4 linked regions of the Drosophila melanogaster genome follow. The gene in region 1 interacts genetically with each later gene. Each region holds a gene or a part of one and is shown in the gene's direction. Other genes may lie near its edges.

The links.
Region 2: of puc (region 1) and vg, changing one suppresses a phenotype caused by changing the other (phenotypic suppression), as found in Drosophila melanogaster (one study listed by BioGRID).
Region 3: of puc (region 1) and Atg9, changing one suppresses a phenotype caused by changing the other (phenotypic suppression), as found in Drosophila melanogaster (one study listed by BioGRID).
Region 4: of puc (region 1) and Daxx, changing one suppresses a phenotype caused by changing the other (phenotypic suppression), as found in Drosophila melanogaster (one study listed by BioGRID).

What each region holds. Positions count from the first base shown.
Region 1 is NT_033777.3:8,103,378-8,108,335, forward strand, and holds the start of puc (puckered), read left to right. Parts: upstream 1-1,954; 5' UTR 1,955-2,483; coding exon 2,484-2,718; intron 2,719-3,110; exon of another isoform or gene 3,111-3,362; intron 3,363-4,854; coding exon 4,855-4,958.
Region 2 is NT_033778.4:12,882,619-12,887,245, forward strand, and holds the start of vg (vestigial), read left to right. Parts: upstream 1-1,582; 5' UTR 1,583-2,693; intron 2,694-3,750; 5' UTR 3,751-4,526; coding exon 4,527-4,622; intron 4,623-4,627. Other genes in the region: AspRS (Aspartyl-tRNA synthetase), read left to right, coding at 124-287. UniProt on the Drosophila melanogaster protein: Involved in determining which thoracic imaginal disk cells will form wings and halteres, perhaps by interacting with other nuclear regulatory proteins.
Region 3 is NT_033778.4:16,292,639-16,297,750, forward strand, and holds Atg9 (Autophagy-related 9), read left to right. Parts: upstream 1-1,761; 5' UTR 1,762-1,882; coding exon 1,883-4,420; coding exon of another isoform or gene 4,421-4,441; 3' UTR 4,442-4,594; downstream 4,595-5,112. Other genes in the region: CG7747 (uncharacterized protein), read right to left, coding at 1-86, 145-296, 351-1,305, 1,365-1,396.
Region 4 is NT_033779.5:6,479,067-6,486,973, forward strand, and holds the start of Daxx (Daxx-like protein), read left to right. Parts: upstream 1-1,862; 5' UTR 1,863-2,133; coding exon 2,134-2,184; intron 2,185-2,916; coding exon 2,917-7,045; intron 7,046-7,105; coding exon 7,106-7,286; intron 7,287-7,424; coding exon 7,425-7,907. Other genes in the region: Sec61alpha (Sec61 alpha subunit), read right to left, coding at 968-1,035, 1,258-1,264. UniProt on the Drosophila melanogaster protein: Transcription regulator. Acts as a histone chaperone that facilitates deposition of histone H3.3. Has a role in chromatin remodeling together with asf1 and XNP. Has role in the transcriptional apoptotic response to oxidative and UV stress.

The sequences.
Region 1 (4,958 bases):
GGAACCTGGTGGTTGCAGCACGCTCTTCGCCAGTGCATCTGTCAAATGGTGAGAATGCATTCTGGAGGTGATCTGCAAACGCTTCAGCTCTTTCGGCTTCAGAGCGGCACCAAGAGCCGTCCGCTTTGCGCACCGGCGACGCCTTCTTTGCAGGCCTCCTGATATGACGCGTGACTTGCCACAGATTATGTTGCGGGTCACCAGGTTCCAGCTCCTCAAGGAATCTGTCGAAGGAGTCTTGCCGTAGGGTACACAGCTTGTCCTTGAGTTCCTTGATGGCTCTGTTGAGTGCTGCCTTGTCCCTTGGGTTGCGCGAGAAGAACCAGATTCTCCTGAGGCGCCTTTTTTCCGCTACGAAGGCCGCAATTTCTGGAGACCAGAGGTGAAGGTCTCTACCGGGAGTTCTTGGGGACGTTGAAGGAGGAGGATTGGCAAACTCAGCAGCATTGTACATCTCATCCGTGAGAGTTTTGATTGCCGCATCGATGTTGCTTGGAGTGGAGAGTGGAGGATCCGGGTGCAGGGAGGACAGCATCCAGAGTGTGAACTTGGAGGCATCAGTGTGCTTCCCGGTGAGTCTTCTGGGCAACTCTTTTTTGAGGACGGGGATGTTGAGAAGCATTTTTATAGCGCTGTGGTCGGATATCAGCTTGTTATAGTTGGAGCAAGTTAGTCTGTCTTGCCCTATGCCTTTGGAGATAGCAAAATCCAGGAGGTCGGGCAGCAAGGAAGGGTTTGAAGGCCAGTGGGTAGGCTCACCAGAGGAGTGGCAATCCAGTCTTCTGCTCTGCAGGAATCTGTGGAGCGTTCTGCCTTTGGGGTTGATGGAGCGGGACCCCCACCAGGAGTGTTTGGCGTTGAAGTCACCAGCTGCTATAAAGCGAGGTCCAAAGGACTCAAAAAAATCTTGTAGGTGAGTCTCGGTGATCGAGTGTCTAGGTGGGAAGTAGACCGCTCCAACGGTGATGTCTCCATGTAGGCTGGAGATTCTGGCCAGGGCACACTGGGCCCATTCCTCCTGAAACGCAGGTAGCTCCGTGTACTGGATGCCACTCCTGATGAGCATGGCTGCTCCTCCGCGCGCTCTGCCAGATGGATGGTTGGCAGGGATGACATCGTAGCCGCTAATGCTAAAATGGGATCTGGGACAAAAGTGGGTTTCTGATACCAGTAGTACATCGATGGCATCTGTTTTTAGGAGGTGTTCCACCTCGGCTCTGCTCCTCTGCAGGCCGTTAGCATTCCAAATAACTATTTTTAGGCTTTGCATACTTTTGCGTTGAGGATGGAAGCAACAAGCTGCGTCATTTGCGAGAACATCTTCTCCATCATCCTTTCGACCATTCCTTCGAAGCGAGCAAACATTTGTTCCATGTTACTGGGTTGCGGAGATTCAGGTGGGGTTTGACGGGTTTGGTTGGGATTGGTTTGCTGAGGCACTTGGGTAGACATGAGCGCATCTCTGTAGTGACAAATAAAATGTTTTGACAACGAAGAATTTAAAGAGGTTTATAACGAGCATTGCTATATTCATAAAAATTATAATGAATAAATGGAATTCATCAATATAAACTAACAAAAGGTTTGAGCCCGAGATAAAAGAAAATTAGTATATATACAGCATGTCAAAAGCAATTATACAAAGTCAAATGTCAGCATGTTTCGAAAATAATTAACCTTTAACGTGTAATAAATAAAAAATAAATAAATAAAAATTGTATTATGATCATAGGTCAAAGTATGTAATAGCTTATTTTAACTTCATTTGTCAACAATTGTGGCTATTATATATACTTTAATTTCAAATTCAACCGCAAAGTCTTCAGTGTTGGTGAATTTGGTGAGCGTAGAGTAAAGTTTCAGCTTGTTAGCCTTTTTTAACTGTAGTAGCCTCTGGTCACACTAATCGCGTCTTTATCAAATTCGGTTATCAAATTTGTTTTGCGCCCGTTCATTCGTCTTGCGCTCATTCATTCGGTCATTCATTCGCCTTTTGAATACCGCTTCGAACGGTTGTGTCTACATCTTTGCACAACGAGTTCGAAAAATAACTAAGCTCCGCGCGAAAACAGTAGGAAATTAAAACTAGAATATTTCTGGTAAAAACATTTATCATTGGATACAATAATTTTAACACGAATCGTGAGAAGAGGAAGCAAACAATTAATACTAAAATAAAATATAAAAACGAGATCTACAACCCGCGCGTTTTTCGATTAATGAATTAAAAATAAGTGTGCGTGCTACAAGTGGAAATAAAACTCGATTTCTGGGCCCCCGACTTTTGGTTGCAACACACTTTATAACGGGAAGTGGCTCAACAAGTGGCTCGGGGATTATCTAATAAAGCCCTCCTACCGAAAATCATACTTAAATAATATAGATTATTATACGGGCAGAAAGCAACAAATAAAATATACATATATCAATTTTAAAACAACCAAAGGCCCCCATGTGTATGTGTGTAGTGTGAGCGCGTGCATATGTGTGTGAATCGAGAAACGCAGAGCAGCAGCAACAATAATAGCAACAACACTACAACGGCAACGTCAACAGCACGCAACAACAACAGCCACAACGGACGCTGTGAGTGCGACGGAGACGGCGACAGCGTGAGTCATATACAAAGTGAAATGAAAATGCGGATAAAGCGAGAAGCGCCGTGTCTTCTGTTATTTATGCCAATCCAAAATACCAACAACAACAATCGCATTGGTGGTAAGTACAAAAAGAAGCGAAAAAAAGAATCAAATCAACAGAAATAAGCAATAAGAAAAATCGTACAATTTAAGATTACACTCAAACCAATCAAAAGAGCGGGACAGGGAGAACGTATTAATCCCTCTCTCTTGCTCTCTTGATTTTTACCGCTCGGCATGCTGTTTACTTTTGCTGGGGCGCGAAAGAGAGGGGGAGCACACGTAAGCGTCTCCATTTCATTTCTACAAAAGCAAAAACAAGCAAAAAGAAACGAACTCGAGAGAGATCAGACTCAGAGTCAGTTACTTTTTTTCGCTCCATACGTGACTCACAATTCGCGTGTCTTTCAAAAATAAAAGCAAAAGAAGCGTTTCGATTCGTTTCTGTTGGCTGGATAAATGAAAAAAAAAATCAGTCAGTCCAACAAAATACGAGTACAAATAAAAAAAATAAAACAACAGAAAAAATGTAAAGCAAAGCAGGTTTCTCAAGCGGCCTGGCAACGCTGAAAAACCCGCTTTGAAACGACCTTTCGAGTACGAATTCATCGGCACAACAACAACAGAAGAAGGGAGAAGCGTGCGAAGGAGGAGGCCAAAAGGGGAGCAGAAGGAGAAAAAGCAACAGCCGCGGCAACAACTCAAAACTGAAGTTGGGAGTCGGTAAGAAAGAGCGGAAGAGCAGGAAGGGTTAGTTGCAAGGGCCAGGGGCGAAACTAAAAAGGGGTGCCCTCGTTGAGTCAAAGTTCCAAAACATTTACAGAATAGTTGAAATTTATTAAATATAATATAAGTTGAAGCATTACAATCGCTTTATAAATCACTTAAAATTAATATCATCTTAAAGTGAAAGATTTACTACCTTGTTGCCAAGTTTTTTTTAGACAATAAACAGCGAATTACTAATAACAGTAAACATAATGGCGAATCGCAACCCAAAAGTTGGACAAAATAGTGAACAGAAAGCTGATGCATAGCTCATTTCCAAAAGTAAACAAGCCACTGTATACTAATTAGCACTTTCCTATTTTCTACTCTACTTCACACCACTCCCCCCGTTTCCCACACCATAGGCCCCCTTCGAAACCCACACACTCCAGACCCAGACGCCCCTGGAGGTTTGCAATGCACTATTGGCATGCGATTTTACTTGTTTTACTAGCCGCAAACAACAACAACAGCGACAAAAAAAAAACATAACCAACGTTTCCTGCCGCGGTGAAAAGTTGGTTGTACTTTTTTTGAGGCTGTTGCTTTTTTCTGTGTTGTTTTTTGGCTTTTGAGGTCGCTTGGCTGATAACAGCAATTTTGTACCCCAGTAGTTTGCTCGAAGTTGTTTTGCTTTTCAGCATAAAAGAGACTATACTTTCTGGCAAGGCTGATAAAGTCGATTTGATCAAGTCAGCACAGTCCGAACTCCTAAGACCACTTTGAAAACATAATACAAACTGTAGCATTGGTTATCTTATCAAGTTTTTTCTTTTGACGGACGGCTGAAATGATACCCTTCAATCAAGGAACATGGCTTAAAATTAAAGTTTAGTGTAGGGGGAAAATCGTACTTGAAGTTTTTAAAAACAAATATTTACTACAAGATTAATTTTAATAATATTCGAAGAAATCAGAATGATGCTAAGAACATAAATATACCAGCATTAAAAACCCAAGATTGCCGTACTAAAAAAGTTTTCAACTATTTGTTATTGACAGCTTTTGTTCAGACTTACCTATAAATGAATAATCTGGATTGTGTTTTACTATAATATACTATCAAATTGGTATCGGGCTAGCTTACAAAGCGTTCTCTAATTATGCCTGCTCACTGTGATAAGCGACTTGTGAGCTGCGAGCGAATGTGGAAAACTTTGGCTTTGCATTCGCTCGTAATCAGGCGAAAAAGAAGAAAAAAAAACTCTAGAGCCGAAATAAATGTCTTACGTCAGTTTTGGCAGGCGGCAATCGAAACGAAATATTTTTGCGGTTTTTTTGAACGGGGAACCTGGCGCGACAAGTTTTTCGCACTGCGGTCCATACACGGTCCGTGCTGACATCATGGGTTATAAAATTAAGCAAATCGCTAACCGCCAATTAAAATCAGTTTTTAAATCACCGCATTAATGCGTATTTTCTGGTCTTCGTCTCCTTCCCTCGGCAGCCAATCAGAAGGACTATCCCAACAAGCGGTCCAGGGAGAATCTGGCATGTGACGAAGTGACATCGACGACGTCATCATCAACGGCAATGAACGGCGGCGGACGG
Region 2 (4,627 bases), on another chromosome or scaffold:
GAGAATAATATAAATGCATAGCTCAAGTGCTTATATAAGACTGTAACCCATTTCAGATAAGAAGTTGAAACTTATCTACTCTATTAATACTTAATATTAACGCCGTATATATTTGTTTTCTAGATACCTCCAAGATTGCGGCGTACATCGAGTCCTTCCGCTATGGATGTCCTCCACATGCTGGTGGTGGCATTGGAATGGAGCGTGTGGTGATGCTGTATCTGGGATTGGACAACATCCGCAAGACTTCCATGTTCCCGCGCGATCCCAAACGATTAACGCCTTAAGCACGATAGACTCAAACAACGTACTCTTTAGATTTGAATACAATTCGATGAAACAATTGTTTTACTTTCCCTGTGACTTTCCAAGCATTCAGTTCTTTTTATTTTTACGCCAAACCCAATCGTGAGTGTTTTATCCTTCTTCTCAAGACTAACATGCTGCAAAGTTGTTAAACAACGAGAAAAATGTACGGGAAGACTGCCTAGAGTCAAATTTATTTGGAAACTCGTAAGAAATAAATACTTGCGCGTATGTTTTGTACTTTAATAATTGCTTTTAATATTTTGGTTGGTTATTTTTAAGTGGGTAAAATATATAAGCTAACGTGTAGCTAGAATATTATATTTTTGTTGCATACTTTTAGGGTCTGTAGAAAGGCCACATTTGTTCTCATAGCTTATCAATATGCACCTGGTCAAAGAGTTTTCTTAATGTTTTATTCAAAAGGTTGAAACCAGACCAATTTTATTAAAAGCCTTAAGTAAAAACAGTTCACTACTTTTGATTTGTCTAATTGGATTGTAGTATAAGAGATTAATATTCTCATCATTTTCAAAATAAATAAAAGATATTATTATTATCTGGCATTAGAATTTAGAAATTTAGTTTTTGATGCAGGCTGTGTAATAACCATTATAGTTTTCTTGGTGACCATCTATAAGACTGACTACCTTAACTACTTTGAGAATCCCTTAAATAATCACCGCTCGAAGTCCCGTCGGCCATGTCTTCTTTATCTGGAAACTTCTTTCTCAGGTTAAACTCCCACATAAACATGGTTTTTTTTCTAGCTTTCTCCGTAGTTATAGAAGTTTCCCACAACATTTTATGCAACATTGCTTAAACAACTTTCTGCGTATTAAAACAAATTTCGATATTTAGCCAAATCGGTATAACCAGTAATCAAATCATATTAGCTGTCACTAAAACCAAACTTTGTGTTCCGACTTTCCTGGAATTTGTAAATGAAAACATAAGTTTAGATCCTATATGCTCTGTAGTAGGGCTATTTTCCATGCCGACTTGATGTATTCCATTTTTATATTATCCACAGATTTTTCAGCTTTTTTTACACGTTCCTATCAGAAATCTAACAATTAAAGGTGTAGTAGACCGTCTTTCACTTATAAGCATCCACACCTTGTCAACAATCCGCGGCGAAATGAAGGCGAATGAACAGCACAATAAATTGTATTCATTTGCAATCAGATTATTATCAATACGGAAACTTCGCGGTTGAGGAGGGCTTGGGGCTTGGAAGGGGACTGGAAAACAAGGATTGCGGGGGCACTGCAAACACTGTTGACACAGTTGGCGCATACTTTTCATTGCGGAAAGGCAAGGAAAGGAACAAAAGGACGAAGTAGAAGGCCCCGGATGAATGCGAATTCCTTTCAATCTGTTTGTCGAACTTTAAAATCAGAGAGAAACAGCAGGAGTTTCGTCTACTTGAGGACACAATTGAGACGCACTCCATTTTATTTTCACACCGATGTGGCATCGTTAGTTGGAAACCTGGAAACAACAATACAACGCTGAATGCGGCAGCAATCAAGTGGGCGGTGCTTGGCAACTGCAGCACACTAGTTGTCCCGCTCCCACCGCGGTCCAATGACTGCCGTGCGAGAGAGATGGCCCGATACAAGAAATTGCCATTTTGTTTTCAATGCCGCGGCGACTGCGCTGCCGTCGCGCTGCCCGCAAATGCATTGGATTTACCGCTCCTTTTGCCAGTTTGTTTTTTCTCTTCCGATTGAGCGGCAGCCGGAGCTCTCCGTGTTTTTCTCTCACCGCCGCGCGGGATTTTCGATTTCGGATTTTCGATTTCAGCGTAAACGAGAATATCGTAAAATTAAAACGAAACAAAACCAAAATCCTAGTGAGTGATCGCGGCAAGTGCAGTTCATTTGTTTTCCAAGTGCCACATCGCAAAGCAGAATAATAATTATAGAAATAGAGATTTCCGCGGATGCTGCAATTGCCAAAATAGTGCCGTTCTCCATCTCATTTTCGCTCGCTGGCTATCGCCCTCTCTCTCACTCGCTCTCGCACAATCGGGCCGCCAAGAATTTATGGAATTCGGCATTTTGTGGATTTAGCGAAAATATTTTCATTGAGTGCGCCGACCAAATGTTTGCTGCTCGTTTTCGGTTAAAAATAATCGCAGAAGCCGCTGCGCCAAAATCTCAAGAATTCACGTGCGAATTCCCCAGCGCGTATCACTTTAATTACTATTCAAATTAACAACAACAACAAAACGATCAAACGAAAATTAAGTCAAGTTTTACCTTGTCAAGAGATGTGAAATTGTTGAATATTTTGCAAAAAGTGCACTGTAACGAGAATTGAGTTGATTTACGCAAGCAACACTGAACATCTTATTGGATTACACTAAAAACATTCAAGTGGTAAGTGCGGGTTCGATAAATGAAATGTCAAATTGGACCGCAGTCGTTTTCCTTCTGGTGTCATTATAATTATCATAATTTGCCTAATTTATCGATTTGCATTTAATTTTATTATGCATATTAGGCTAAACGTCTGAAATTGATGTTTGTACCTTACATCATAAGGTTAATTTATTAATTCCACTTAATTGGTTATATTGTTCCTATACTTTTTAATTGAATTGTAAAAAGGTACAACGTGAAAAGCTCTGAACAGTTAAGGATTAAAAAAAGGTTGTTAAATAGCTTAAGTTTTTTGTAACGGGAACATTATGGAGCTATAGTTATTTTCCAATTAAATTGGGATAATATGTAATAGCAGTAGTAGAAGCACAGATATAATTTATAGGATTATTCATTAAATTACGAATATTTTTTGTGACAGATAGCTTTTAAAATGTAAATTTTGTGTTTTCATGTCCCGACGGAGGTTTATTTAAAAATGATTCCTATTGCCGTCGGACCTTAGCTATATTTTCATTTCAATAGCTTTTACTGTGTTCAATGCAATAGTTTGTTCAACGTTTGGCATTCGCTGCTGCTGTTATTGTATCAATCAATAGTTGCAACGATTATTTATTTCCATTCTACAAAAAAGCTTAGCATATTAATTTGCGACCTAATTCAAGATATTTCTAAAAGCTAAAGCCAAGAATTAAAGAATTAACTTCAAAGACTTTTAAAGTAATTCCTTATTTTCCGACGGATATCTTTAACAAGTTTTAATTCACTTCGTCTATAAAACCGTTTATGTGCCAGTTTATTGGTTTTTATTTTGATCATAATTACTTTAGCTGTGAAAGCATTCGTTTGTGGTTTTCTATAGCCATTTTGAAACTTGATGATGCTTTGTTTACATGCAATTGCTTTTCAACAGACATTTACGGTTCAAATAGTCACATCATTAAAGTCGGTTTTAACATAAATGCCAGAAATTGGCTCATCAGCTTTGAATTTCTTACCACAATTAGCAAATTGTTAATGCCTTCTCCTGCACTTTTCTCCATTTTCCTTCCAGTTGGCAATTCTTCGTCGGAAACGCGGATGAGAAACGAAATTGACGTTCCAACGCCAAAGGGAAAAAAAAACTGAAAAAATAGAAAACAACGACTAACAGCAATCAACAATGTGGAAATGATAATTGCAATTGCCTGCACAAGCAAACAAAGAAGAAAGAAGCAAGTGAAGAAAGTCGAAGAGCGACGAGGGGAGGAAACTGAGTCGAAAAGAAAAGGAAATTACCCACGAACGGGAATGGCAAATGCATAGAAAGAAGTTTGCGAAAAACAACAAAAAACGTAAACAAAAAACAGACAAAAAGCAATTATAGCTGCTGATACAAACGCGATGGTGTTTTACAATATGTAAATATAATTAGCCGAGCGGAGTTTTCATTCCAGGAATTTTGCCAGCCAACAAAAGAAATAAATACTACAACTGCTGCAGAAAAAATACAACAAAAACAACAAAACACGCCTTGACTTGAAAGCCGGTTTTATAATTACTCCAAGTTTTAGCCCCCTTCCCTCCCCGCGCGCTCTCTATCTATATATCTATCTCCCTCTCTTCAGAGAGAGCATTCAATTTCAAACCCCCGATACGATTACGAATCCAATTGGAACCACGCGTATTGGCATCACAATTCCCTCCCCGCTCAAGTGACAATACCAATTTAACTACCATCCATCGCTAAACCGCAAAAGCAGTGAGCCAGTGTGAGTGCCAGTGCCAGTGCCAGTGTGTGTGTGGCAGTGAGTGGCAGTTGCAGTTGCAAGTGCGCTTGCCACTGCGACAATGGCAGTGTCCTGCCCCGAAGTTATGTACGGTGCCTACTATCCATATCTGTACGGGCGCGCTGGAACAAGTCGATCGTTCTACCAGTATGAGAGGGTGAG
Region 3 (5,112 bases), on another chromosome or scaffold:
TTTGAAGAGTGTCTAATCCTCCGACAAGCTTTCCAAAGATGGTGTGTTTGCCGTCGAGATGTTTGCAAGAGCGATAGGTGATAAAGCTACGAAACAGCGTATACTTGCAAAAGCATTGAAAAAATGTCACTTTGTGGTACTTACAACTGAGAGCCATTGGTGTTGGGTCCCGAATTGGCCATTGATAGCACTCCTCGGCCCGTGTGCGTAAGATTCGGCTTAAACTCGTCCTCAAACTTCTTGCCCCAAATGGACTCGCCACCAGAACCACTTCCAGTGGGATCACCACCTTGCACCTGTGGATAAAACCATAGTAAATTAAAGTTTCTCTCAAAAGAGATCGTACTTACAATAAAATTCCTTATGGACCGGTGAAACATAACATTATTGTAGTAACCATTGGCGCAATGCTTGATGAAGTTATCGCAGGCTCGAGGAGTTTGATCGCAGAAGAGCTCCAGGTTGAGAGGGCCAAGGTTCGTATTTAAACGAACGTAGCCCTTCTTTTTTACCCGCTCGTACTTGACCAAATCATCATCTATGATAGCCGCCTCTATTTGGGAAACGGGCACCATGGCGGTAGACGTAAAACTGGCCGCCACCGCTCCAGTTGAATAGTGAGCTGCGTTGAACTTGTCAGCTGTACGCTTCGAAGTGGAGGCCTCCTCTTCCGCTGGCTGATAGTCCTGCTGCAGCTGTTCCAGCGTCTCCTTGGTCTCCAGATTCATGGTCTTAATGCGGCCGCTGGCTGGATTCTTTCTCTCTTGCTGCTCTTCTTCCGTCAGGACTCGTAGATTCTTCTTAATATGATAGAAGGTCGAGATGTCGTACTTTTCCAGCTTCTGAGGATCTTGTATTGTGATGATATCCTTACGCTGGAATGGCGTGTCATCCACCAGATCCTTCCAGTTCTTTGTCTTAATGTTCAGCTGGTCGATTGCCTCCCAGCAGTATACATTTCCAGTTGTGGCCACCGCCACGATGTGCGAGTTCTTGCTGAAGGGCTTGAACAAGGCGGGGCAGTGGTACTCATCGTTTGCATTCCTGTGGAAGTTCAGCTTCACCAATGACTTGGAGTCCATCTTCTGCCCGGTGATGGGGTTCACCTTAAAGGTCTTGAGAAACTTAAGAATGGCCTCGTACTCGAACACATTGCCCTGTAGATCGCAGTAGGGCATCTCGTAGGGCGCCATCGTAATGCAGCAGTGCTCGAATGGCAGCCGCTTGAACTTGACATGGTCGTTCTCCAAGGATTCCACTTTTTTGCCGCCATACAGCTCACTCCACTCCGTGTACGTGAGGTACCTGTTAAAGCAATGGGTAGTCTTCATTTCCATAACTCGCTGGATGTGCTAAATACTTACATTTTGTCCTTTTGATGCTGCCTTTTACCCATCTTGGCTGTTTGTTTTTTTAAATTAAATTTGCAATAAAGTAAGAGCTACAAATAGTTTGTTTACAAATGCGGGAGAGAACTGCCAACTCTGTGCAGATTTATGTTGATGGATATCTAGGCTGTTCACACTTCGGGTACCATAAACAAAAGTATCGAGTATTTCAAAAAGTTAAAAACGAATATAAAAACAAATAACAAGAAAAATGCAAATTTAATTATTTATAAGTATTAATTTTATAAGATACCTTTGATTCTCCAATGTGTGTTATTTAGAGATGCCCTGGCAGTGTGAACACTGCACATTGGGCGCTGCAAGAGGTTCGCCTTACTTATTCATTACCCAGTATTTTGACGTTGGCCAACACTTCTCTTAGGAGAGTCAGCTGTTTGCTGAGAAGGTTCAGCAGAATCAAACAACAAAGAATTTTCCAACTTATACTATACAGCGATATAAATAGTCAGAACGGTTGACCTTGACGTTGGGCGATGTCTAGCCCACATATCAACTACCGCTCCCTGGCCGAGGAGGCGGCCAGTCCGTTCCTGGAGCACCATCCCTCCACAGGCCAAGGCCCATCCAAAACACAAGACGCAAAAGCGAACGCAGCTGCTGCGCATTTAGACCCCCTCGGTGAACACGGGCTGGAGCAGCCGCTGGATGAGCACGACACCGAGCATGAGGGCGAGGACACGCCTCGAAACAGTGGCGTCATGATCCACATGGTTCCGGAGACGGGGCGTGCGCGGTGGAACCACATCGAGGACCTTGACTCGTTCTTCTCGCGAATGTATCAGTACCAGCAGAAGCACGGATTCACAGTGATTGTAGTGGACGAAATGCTACAGGTTCTGGAGTTTGGTTTCGTCGTCTGGCTACTTGCCTTTGTGATGCACTGCGTCCGATTTGACGTGCTCTTTGGGGACACCCCTCCAGGGGGACTTAACCCCAACAAGACAACTTTATCCGATGTGATGTACCCCACAGGCGAGTGCTTAGCCAACTTCACTTGGGTCACGTACCTGGTTGTGTTCATAGCCGCTATCTATTTGGGCATAAGGCTTCTGAAAATGGTGTACCATATTACCCAGTACGCCGATATAAAGAGATTCTACAACTCTGCGCTTCATATCGAGGATTCGGATCTGGACAACTTTACGTGGCACGAGGTGCAACAGCGGATTCGTCGCGTCCAGGCCGAACAGCATATGTGCATCGACAAGGAGTCGCTTACGGAATTGGACATCTATCACCGAGTTCTGCGCTTCAAGAACTACCTAGTGGCACTGATGAACAAGCAACTGCTGCCTGTAAGGTTCCACATACCGCTGTATGGCGAAGTGGTCTCGCTGAGTAGAGGTATGTTGTTCAACATTGACTTCATCTTGTTTCGCGGCCCTGGATCTCCCTTCCAGAACAATTGGCAGCTGCGTGATGAGTTTGCGGTAAGAAGCAATCAAACGGAGCTGGCGCAGCGACTCTCCAAACTGATATTGGGGGTGGCGTTGTTAAATTTGGTCCTAGCGCCTGTGATCTTCGTATGGCAACTTATCTACTTCAGTTTCTCCTATGCGAACATTCTTCGTAAGGAGCCTGGTGCCCTTGGCCTGCGTACATGGTCCAATTACGGCCGCCTCTACCTGCGCCACTTTAATGAACTGGACCACGAACTAGATGCCAGGCTGAATCGGGCATATGACTACGCGGACCGCTATCTCAACTCCTTTTCCTCGCCACTGGCCGCTGTGATAGCCAAAAACCTACTCTTTATCAGTGGAGGACTACTACTTCTAATCCTTGCATTGGGCATTTACGAGGAACACGTCTTCCAGGTGGAGCATTTGCTTGCCATCCTTGCAGGGCTCGGCGCCATAGGTGTGGTCTGCAGAACTCTAATACCGGATGAGAATCTCGTTTGGTGCCCAGAGCAGCTAATGACCGCCATTCTGGCGCACGTTCACTACCTGCCCTCCGAGTGGCGGCAGCAGGCGCACACGACAAAGGTTCGCCAGGAGTTTAGCAACTTCTTTCAGTTTAAGGCTGGCTACCTACTCAGCGAAATCTTCAGTCCCTTCGTCACACCCTTCGTGCTGATCTTTGTGTTCAGGCCAAAGGCCATAGAGCTGGTGCGTTTCTTCAGGACGTTCACCGTATCCGTGCGAGGAGTGGGCAACGTATGCTCCTTTGCCCAGATGGATGTTCGCAAGCATGGCAATCCCGACTGGCAGTTAACCAGCGAACTGGAGGAGATGACCCGGGCTACAGCTCAACAGCCGCAGCAGGAGCCACAGCAGCAAAGTTTGGCCGGCGGCAAAACGGAGATGTCGCTTCTTCGCTTCACCCTGAACAATCCCGAGTGGCAGATGCCCAAGGAGGCCAAGCAGTTCCTGCGCGGCGTTAGAGAGCACGCCGTTGGTGAACTAGTCCAGGCCAAGACGTCGATGGTGCAGGAGAACCCGCTGACCAACAGCCTCATCTCATTTGGCACCATGGGAGCGGATTATTGTTCCATTGCGAACTCTGTGCTGACCGCACAGGTGACGCCCCAGCAACTGGAGATTTCGCAGTCGTTGCGTCCGGGTCTAGGACCGGTATCTGGAGGATTCCCCGTCGCAGCCAGCGACTTCCGCCAGATGTTGCAGCAGAATCTGTCCGCCAGTGTCGGCCCGCTGGACAGCATGCGCCGATTGCGCCTCAGCCGGGCTGAAGGCCGCTTGGAGGGTCCGACGGATACACTGCTCTACGGACTCTGTGGTGTGGACCCGCGCGTGGGCAGCACTCCCTTGAATGTGGGCGTGGCCGACATGTGCCTCAGTGCCCTCTATTTGCACGAGCTGAACCAGCAGAAGCGCCAAGCGCGCCAGTCTCGCATCGACGAGGCCGAGGACGAGCGTCCTGGTACGAGCCATTGGCCACCGCGACCACCAGCTGCTCCGTCGGCTGATACTGGCTTCGGCTCCCGCCATACCGTGATTACCTCAAAGGCTGCCGAGAGCACGCCGCTTTTGGGTAGCATCCGCTCATAGCAGCGGCCAGAGTGGATCTAACCACCTGTAGAGCTAAGGACCACCCATTCTGCTATTAGTGATTAACCTAAATTTTAAAGTGTAAACGAACGAACGACGTCGTCTAGTGCGTAGCTAAACTAATCTGAAACTAAGCTAAACTAAACGAGAAGCAATAAACATAAATGCATTATCAAATTGATCAGCTTTATTATTTCAAAGGAAATTTCGCTAGATAATAACTAAATCTATTAGTGTGTAGTAGTTGTGATTACCCATTACCCATATTTACATATATATATATGTATAAACTATTTACCTGGTTTGATTATAATGGCTTGTAAATCCTAAGCATTATCCGTTGTGTATCCTGTGTACAACAACTGAAAGGAGACACCATAAAAAAAATCCATTTTCATTGTGAAGATTATATTTAATGTCTTTACGGCTTATCCCGATCTTAGCTCTCCGGGATGTGGGAATGCCAGCTCCATCAGCACTGATGGATGGTCCCCATTTGTAGGCATTGTTGGCACACCACATCCACCTGGTCCAGAGATCCAGATGCGAGTGGCTGAGGAGAACGCATCCAGCTGTGCTGCAGCGCCTCGTGTGTCACTTGCCACACACGAACGCCATTTGGCGATTGGTGTTGATGGCCAATGCGGCGAGCAGAGACCAAAGACTGGAGGAGATCGGGGCGCACAGAGTGG
Region 4 (7,907 bases), on another chromosome or scaffold:
AAATAAAAAGAACCAACAATTGCGAATGAGTCATATTGCAGTGTAAAAAAGTGTGGAGATATATAAACAATGCATAGAAGTAAAGGAATCTTTGATATTTCCAAACATATAAAAATACTACATTATTATTATTTTATTTTAAATAAACGGCTTAAGATCAAGCCCGCTTTACCCTTGAAACTAAGCTGCACAAATAATGCTACCGCTATGTTGACCTACATGGCCGCTTTCCCATGTGTGTACGTGTGTCAATTGTTTAAACAAAATCTGGTAAACTTCATTTGGCCGTAGTCGTCGTCATCGCTCATCACCTGCGAGCAACAAAAACAAACGAAGCTGACGTCGACAGCGCTTCGTGCGAGCCGAAGTTTGACATTTCCATTTCCACGTAGCGTTTGTTTGTCAGTGGCGAGAGAGTGGTGTGTGTCTGTGTGCGTGTGTGAGTGTTAAATGAGAGTATGGCAACAAGTAGCCAGGTGATAAGAAAACTAGCAGCAGCAGTGAGGTGGAAATACTGAGATTTATGAATGAAAAGGCCCACGAAACATATAAAAACTCAAAAATATGTGCACTTCAAGTGGTGTACGATATAGTAATAAATAAAACTAAAGTTGGGCATAATTATTTTCATGAATTAAATGGACACAAAAGGCGTGTTTTCCTATTTCGACACATAAAAAACTCAGTTTGTTCTATATCAGGGTGGTTCGGCTGCCGTTTGCCCACTACCAAATGAAGAGCAAACTGTTTGCGTGGCGATGTTCACTTTTTTGACAAGTGAAAGCAACCACAAAACGCGTGGGCTGGCAACACTGGCAGAGAGCAAAGCGAGATTCGCTCGGAAAAACACACGTATAAGACGAGAAAAGCCGCAAATTGTTGGGAAAATTCGAACATTACATGGTACAGCAGCAATTGGGATAACTAGCTACACTTTGATTACATCTAATTACGGTTTTATACACACCTTGCGCTCCGGTTTTGCGATTTCCGGCAGTATACTGCAGAACGGTTTGATAACTTCCAGGAACTTGACTGCAAATAGTGAATTAAGGCAACCGAATTAGTTACGTTTCTCAGGCCATTTTTAATTAATTGCGATTTTCGGACACAACGAGCGGCGCACGCCGAATCTTTTTTGTATACGTAAGCAATGAGCGACAAGGGTGCGAGCGGCATTGCAAGGGCGGCACTTCACACAAAAACCGCTGCACTCCCCGATTTTGGGGAAGATGTCTGGCGATGACGGTTACTTACTTCCCATTTTGCCGGACTTGTGTTGCTAGTCTGGGCACTGAGTGGGTGGCTTGGTTATTGCACTTTCTACGCGAACAGTAGAAAGTCTCACTTTTCACTGCACAGCGAACGCCTCAAATTTCAAAAACCGAATGAACGAAGCGAACGAATTGACGACGTCGACGTGTCATTCAGTGTGGCCGTTGGTGAAACGTCAAAATAAACCGTCGTGTCACTTGGCGACGACCGGTCACACTGGCACTGTTAAGCATTAAAATTTGAAGTTGAGCCATGGGAAAATCTATATTTTTGGGCTGTACTGCAAAGCTGCCTAAAGATTATGTTCCGATAATTAAATACATAAACTAGCAAGAAGATCTAACAATTATATTTTTGGTGGAATTCACGTTACCTATCCAGAGGGTTATTTATGGTTTCTTTTTTGTCTAAGATGGGCCAACATATTTAGCTTTTGACATGTACACATTTGGTTTCAGGCATTATAGGGTTAATAAAAAGGAGTTTCGATATTTAGTTGTGTGTCCATCGCTGGCACCGGCTGGCACCTAGCGACCGATACTATCGTGGCAGCCAGCGATGTTTTAGCAGCTCCAAGACTCTCCAATTTGACAATTCTGAGGCATGAGTACAAACAAACACTCACGCAGTGCACTCTGTTGGCGAGCGTAATAAATATGTGGGAAAATTCCCACATATATACAGTATTCAGTGCTAGTGCCGAGAACTCGCAACGAACCCGGTCGCGTCGTTCACATATGTGTGAAAAAGTAGCTGACAACAACGGTGGCAAGTCCAAATGCGAAGAAAAGCCAGTAAATCGCGCGGCGAGTAAAGTGAATAAATTCGGTGCAGACCATTGCCGTTTCGGGGCGAATAATGTCTGCGTCTGTGATATGCGTCGATTTGAGCTCGGAGTCTGATGAGGAGGTAATATCCCGATTTCCCAGCGGACTCGTCAGTGCGTGTGTGTGTGAAAAAGTACAGTTGGTTTTAAATAGGCTCGCTGCATGAGTATGTGTGCGTGTTACACATAGTGTGGAATTAAATTTTTTTCGCGCTGCTTTTTTATTGAGAACGAGCAGACACGAACGTGCAGTGCCCCACTCATACAGTTGCAAAACGGTGACAGTGCTGCCAGACCGAGCGATTGGAGACCTGGCGAGTCTTGCAGTTGCACTGGCGAATATCGGACTTTAATTACGTTAGGCGTGGAAATGAGCGAGTGAGAGGGTGCGGTGAGTCTCCGCTCCTGGAGAGTGTTTGGTTAAGACGCAATTCGCCTGGTAAAGTTTGGAAAGTCGTCTCCGCTGATACGGCACTAAATCAAATTAACTCTCCAAAGCGCGCGCACGCAACTCTCCAAAGCTCTCGCACACACCGACGAACGCACACCTATACACTGACGCTTTTCGTTTGTTTATATTTTCATTCAAATTTAAAATACATCTGAGAGCGACCAACAGGTCGCCTGCAGTTTGGAACTATTATAAATGTTGCTAATTATAAAACGCGCTTCAAAGACGATGCACTTGTGATAAAAACAACAAACATTATGTATACTTATAAGTAAACTTTGGTCTTATTGTCAGAGGCAGTGTAGTCTCATCTTATTACCAATTGAACATAACTTGTAATATAAGTTTCAAATTATATTTGCAGTCGCCGGCCAAACGACGACGACTCGAGGATCCGCTGCGACTACTAACGCCATCCGGTAGGCAAAGTTTTCCTGCCAAACTTCTGAACATACCAAAGGCCTCCCTGGGATCCGCGATGGTAGTGCCTGTTGCGGAAACAGGACCTGCAAGGGAGACTCCGGTCATAGTGGATCCACTCCGGTCCATGCACATCCCCAGTGGAATCACCATCACTAAGCACCAGAAGAACGTCCTCGCCACAAACGGAAACATGAACCTTTCTCTGGCAGAGAGCAACAACAACAACAACACTACCAGCTTGAACAAAAATGTGACCCCGAAGCAGATCAATGTTGGCACCGGCCAGAAAGTGGCCTGGTCGGTGAGCAGCAAGGCGCCCAGTCCGAATGCCGTGATAACCACCGTGCCCAGCCACCAGGTGAGGGTGACGCCGTTTAATCCGATTCGACTCGCACCCGGGTCAAAAATAATACCGGCTTCGAATGCGATGCCTGCAAAGATTCAACCCATTCTTGGGATGGGTCAGCCTCAGCAACAGGCACAAGCCCAGCAACCGAAGGCCATCATAGTGGGTTTTCCGAAGCCCAATACTGCAGTGGCTCAAATGGCGCAACACCAAAAACCTCTAACGCTTCAAATACACCAGAAATTAATTGCAGGACAGCAGCAGCATATAGCTTCTATTAGCCAATTGCAGCAGGTATCGTTGCAGCAGCAACAGCCACTTAGACCCGTGAGCATTCAATTGCAGCAGCAACAGAACCAACGGAATGGCTCATTGCCTGGAAAGCAACAGAAGCCACTGGAATGCCCAGTGCCTGCGCAGCAAGAGAAGCTACCACGTGGGCCGTTGCCTACGAAGCCAGCCGAGCCACTGAGTGGCCCATTGCCTACGGAGCCAGACGAGCCACTGGGTGGCCCATTGCCTACGCGGCCAAAACCACCGGTGAGATCACTACAACAGCCAGTTAACAAGAATACGGCGATTGGAGTACAGATACAGCAATCACAGGAGCCACTGGGTGGCACATTACCTACGCGCCAGAAACCACTTGGAGGTCAATTGCTAACGCAGCAAAAACCACCGGTGGGATCGATACAACAGTCTGTTAAACAGAATACGGGGATTGGAGTACAGATTCAGCAAATACCAAAGGTTGTCGTGGGACAACAGCCACAGAAGGTGTACCTGAATAAACTACAACAGGAGCAACAGAAGATTTTTCTGGGGCACCTGCAACAGCAGCAACAGAAGACGTTCCTAGGGCAACTGCAACAGGAACAGCAGAAGATCCTGGGGCAACTACAGCAGCAGAAACAACAACAACAGCAGCAACAGAAAAAGATCCTGGGGCAATCACAACAGCAAAAGGTGCCGTTGGGGCAACCGCAACCTCAGCAGAAACTACCGCAGCAACTGAACAATTCACTGGTGCAACTACAACAGCAACATCAACAAAGAACATCAGTGGGGCAACTCCAACAACAGCAGCCACATCAATCACAGCAGAAAAATTCAATGGTGCACGTAAAACAGCAACCACAACAGCAAAAGAAGATTTCAGTGGGGCAATTCCAGCAGCAACCACAACAGCAACAGAAGACTTCAGTGGCGCAGCTGCAACAGCAACCACAACAGCAACAGAAGATTTCAGTGGGGCAACTTCAACAGCAATCACAGCAGCAACAGAAGCCTTCAGTGGGGCAGCTGCAACAGCAATCACAGCAGCAACAGACGCCTTTAGTGGGGCAGCTGCAACGGCAAACTCAACAGCAACAGAAGACTTCAGCGGGGCAATTCCAACAGCAACCACAACAGCAACAGAAGATTTCAGCGGGGCAACTCCAAGAGCATTCACAACAACAACAGAAGACTTTAGCGGGGCAACTCCAACAGCAAGCACAACAGCAGCTAAATACTTCCGCGGGGCAGCTCCAACAGCAGCAAAAACCACCAAAAGCGTCCTTAGCGCAACAGGCAGCAGCTCAAAAGCAAGGAGCGGGCCTAGGACAACAGCAACAATTTCAATCCCAGCCCCAGCAGAGAACAAGTGCTGGACTTCTTCAACAGCAACAGATGCCACAGAAGAAAATCGTGATGCAACCGCAGCTTCCGAAAACATCGGTGGTCCTGCCGCGCCCACAACAGCTCCCGAAAAATCCTTTGCTGGTGGCCCAACAGCAATCACCAAAGACACCACTGGTAAACTCCGTAATGGGCCCACAGTTTCCATCACAGCAACCATCGCTTCCCGTTGTCAATCAAATTACGCACAAATCGATGACTATTCAGAGACTTCCCATGTTGCAGACGGTGCAAAAAATTCTGCCAAAACAGATAGCTCCGCAGCAGACGCCACCACCCGCTCATATAGTACAAAAGCAAACAATGCCAAACGCGGCCATGCAAAATCCTCCGTTCGCGCACCGTCCACCGATAGTGCGACCCATGACGGTAGCCAAGATCTCGCCGGTGCCTACAAACAACAAAGTCTGCATCCCGATGAAGCCGCAGATGGCTAGTTATGTCAGTCCCACAGACCCAACAATGACTGCAGCCCGTACTTTGCCCTTTAGAAGCTCACAGCGCAAGACATCTGAAGCACCAATGACTTCGACGCATGTCCAGGGATTCACTGCGAGTGCCACACCTCCACAGCGTCTTCTGGCCACTCCACCGCATTGTGCCGCGGCCTTGAATGAGCCGCTATTGCTAAACTTGCCGCCCACCACTAGCATTACGCCGCAACTGACGCCTACGACAACTCCACCGCCCGCTGGACCATCGGCAGCAGTTCAGCAACAGCAGCTGGCCAAGGCGGCAGCCATTAAATTGAATTCCTTGCCCGAAGCGAGCATTTCTCCAGTGAACAGGTCTCCAACTGCAAGCGCCAAGCGCATCCAGCCGATTACCGTGCTCAAGAAATCCGACGAGGAATGGCAAAGGCATCTCGAGCAACAGCAGCAAAAGAAGCACGTACAATTGCAGTCGTCCTCGATGACCACAATTGTTCTAGTCGAATCACCGCCCACTACTCCGCCCACGGATAAGCCGGAGCCGGAGCGCGGGCCAATGACCGTGGAAAAATCGTCGATCAAACCGATGGCAACAGATAAACAATCCAGGGCAATAAAAAGGCCTGCAGTGATGATTTCCACGAAAAAATCCGGTTTAGTTGTCACAGAAATAGTGGATTTAGATGAAATACCGGATATCCCGCCAGAAAAGCGCGGGAAAGAATGTTTTCCTCCAATTAAGAATGCAGCCAAGGCAGCACCATCAGTGAATGCCCCTTTTACAACTGAGTACGCGGCACTTCTTCGTCTTTGCCGCGAGGTGGACAAATCGACTCACATGGAACGCCTTGTAAAGGGAGAATTGACCCAGTATTACTACAGTGCGCCCGAAAGCTTCGTGATGTCATGTGGCTTTCGCAACCTGGTTACAATGGCTATGGCGAGGATCCGAAGCGAATCGTACCTGGTGTACGTGCACCTAAAGTACGTGTTAGATGAGTTAGCATCGCGGAGGCTGACCAAAATGTTTCCCACAGTACGAGCAATTCCGCCAGCTAGCCAGTTCCCACTTCCACCAGCTAGCCAGTTCCCACTTCCACCCACATTGACCACACCCAAGCAGCCAGCGATAGTAAAAGCGCCGGGGCAGCAGACTGTGATGGCGGGAAGAGAGCAGGATGATGAAGTAGAAGAGGTGACATTGGTGAATGTCGGGACCGTTTCTTGCGAAGAAAGGCGTAGGGATGAGCGGATACGCCACTTTTATCGCACGCTGCATGCTATTACTAAGCGAATAAAGATGTTGGAGGAAGCTGAAGTGGACTTGAACGACGAGGACTCCAGTTATCTTCAGTTGGAGCGCTTCAAAAAGCGTGCCTGCCAAATCTATGAAAAAATCTGTGATCTAAAGGGCGAGAGCAAGAGTGTCCGTAGACAGCTAAAGAAGCCCATACACTTCAAGGATTCGGACTATCCACACTTCAATAACTCGCTCTCGGCTTTTGTGAACAGGATGCAAGATTTTCCCGATTACCACGATGTGCTTCAAATACTGGAAAAGTGCAACAAGGAAAAGGAACTTGGACTAGCCAAGTACGAGATGAAGAGAATCGGTACGTCATGGTCTTCAAGTATCAAAATCAATATTGAGCACACATTTTATTGTTTTGCAGCCTACGATGCCTTTAACAAAGTCGGTCGAATGCTGCAATCGCGCCGAAAGAATGATCTTTACGAAACTGTCACACATTACACGGCAAATGGCAAAGATCCAGCGTCCAGTGATCCCGAGCTGCTAGCCAAGCTCAAGGAAAACAACAAAAAGCAAACCAAAATAAGTGATATCTTAGAAAAGTGAGCTCAAATCGAGAATTTCAGAACTGCGCTGTTCAAAAGAGTTTTCACTTGTTATTTATCGGAAATATCTAGAACAGCGCAGTGCTCTGAACTTAAAACAGAGTTCCAATCTAATATTTGGATTATTTATTCTAGGTATGCCCTCGAGCAAGATCTCAATGCGGAGGAGCGTCAGGAGGCGCGGCTTAAGGAGAAAAAGTTGAAGCAGGTTAAAGCGGACGAGGAGGCCGCCAAGCTGGCTGCTTTGGCGGAAGACGACGACAAGCCCTGTACAAGTGCTCAGGCAGCAGCTAAGGCGGCCGCTCTCGCCGCTTTAAAAAGGGGTCCAGCAGCTCGTGGAAATGTGATTCGAAAAAAGCGTGCCGCTAATGGACGGATTTTCAAAATCGCCGATGACGGAGATGACTCGGAGGAGGAATCGGACTCGGAGGACGACGATGTTGAGGAATTTGTCAATAACTTTCAAGCCAACAGTGATGTGAGTGATGCCGACTCCGAAGTGGAAGCAGTAACATCACCAAAGAGAGATGCTTTGCCGCTCGCCGAGGAGGAGGATGTGATAGATATAACGAGAGACGAGACTGGCAAAAAGAATGACGAAGGCACGCCCAACGGCAG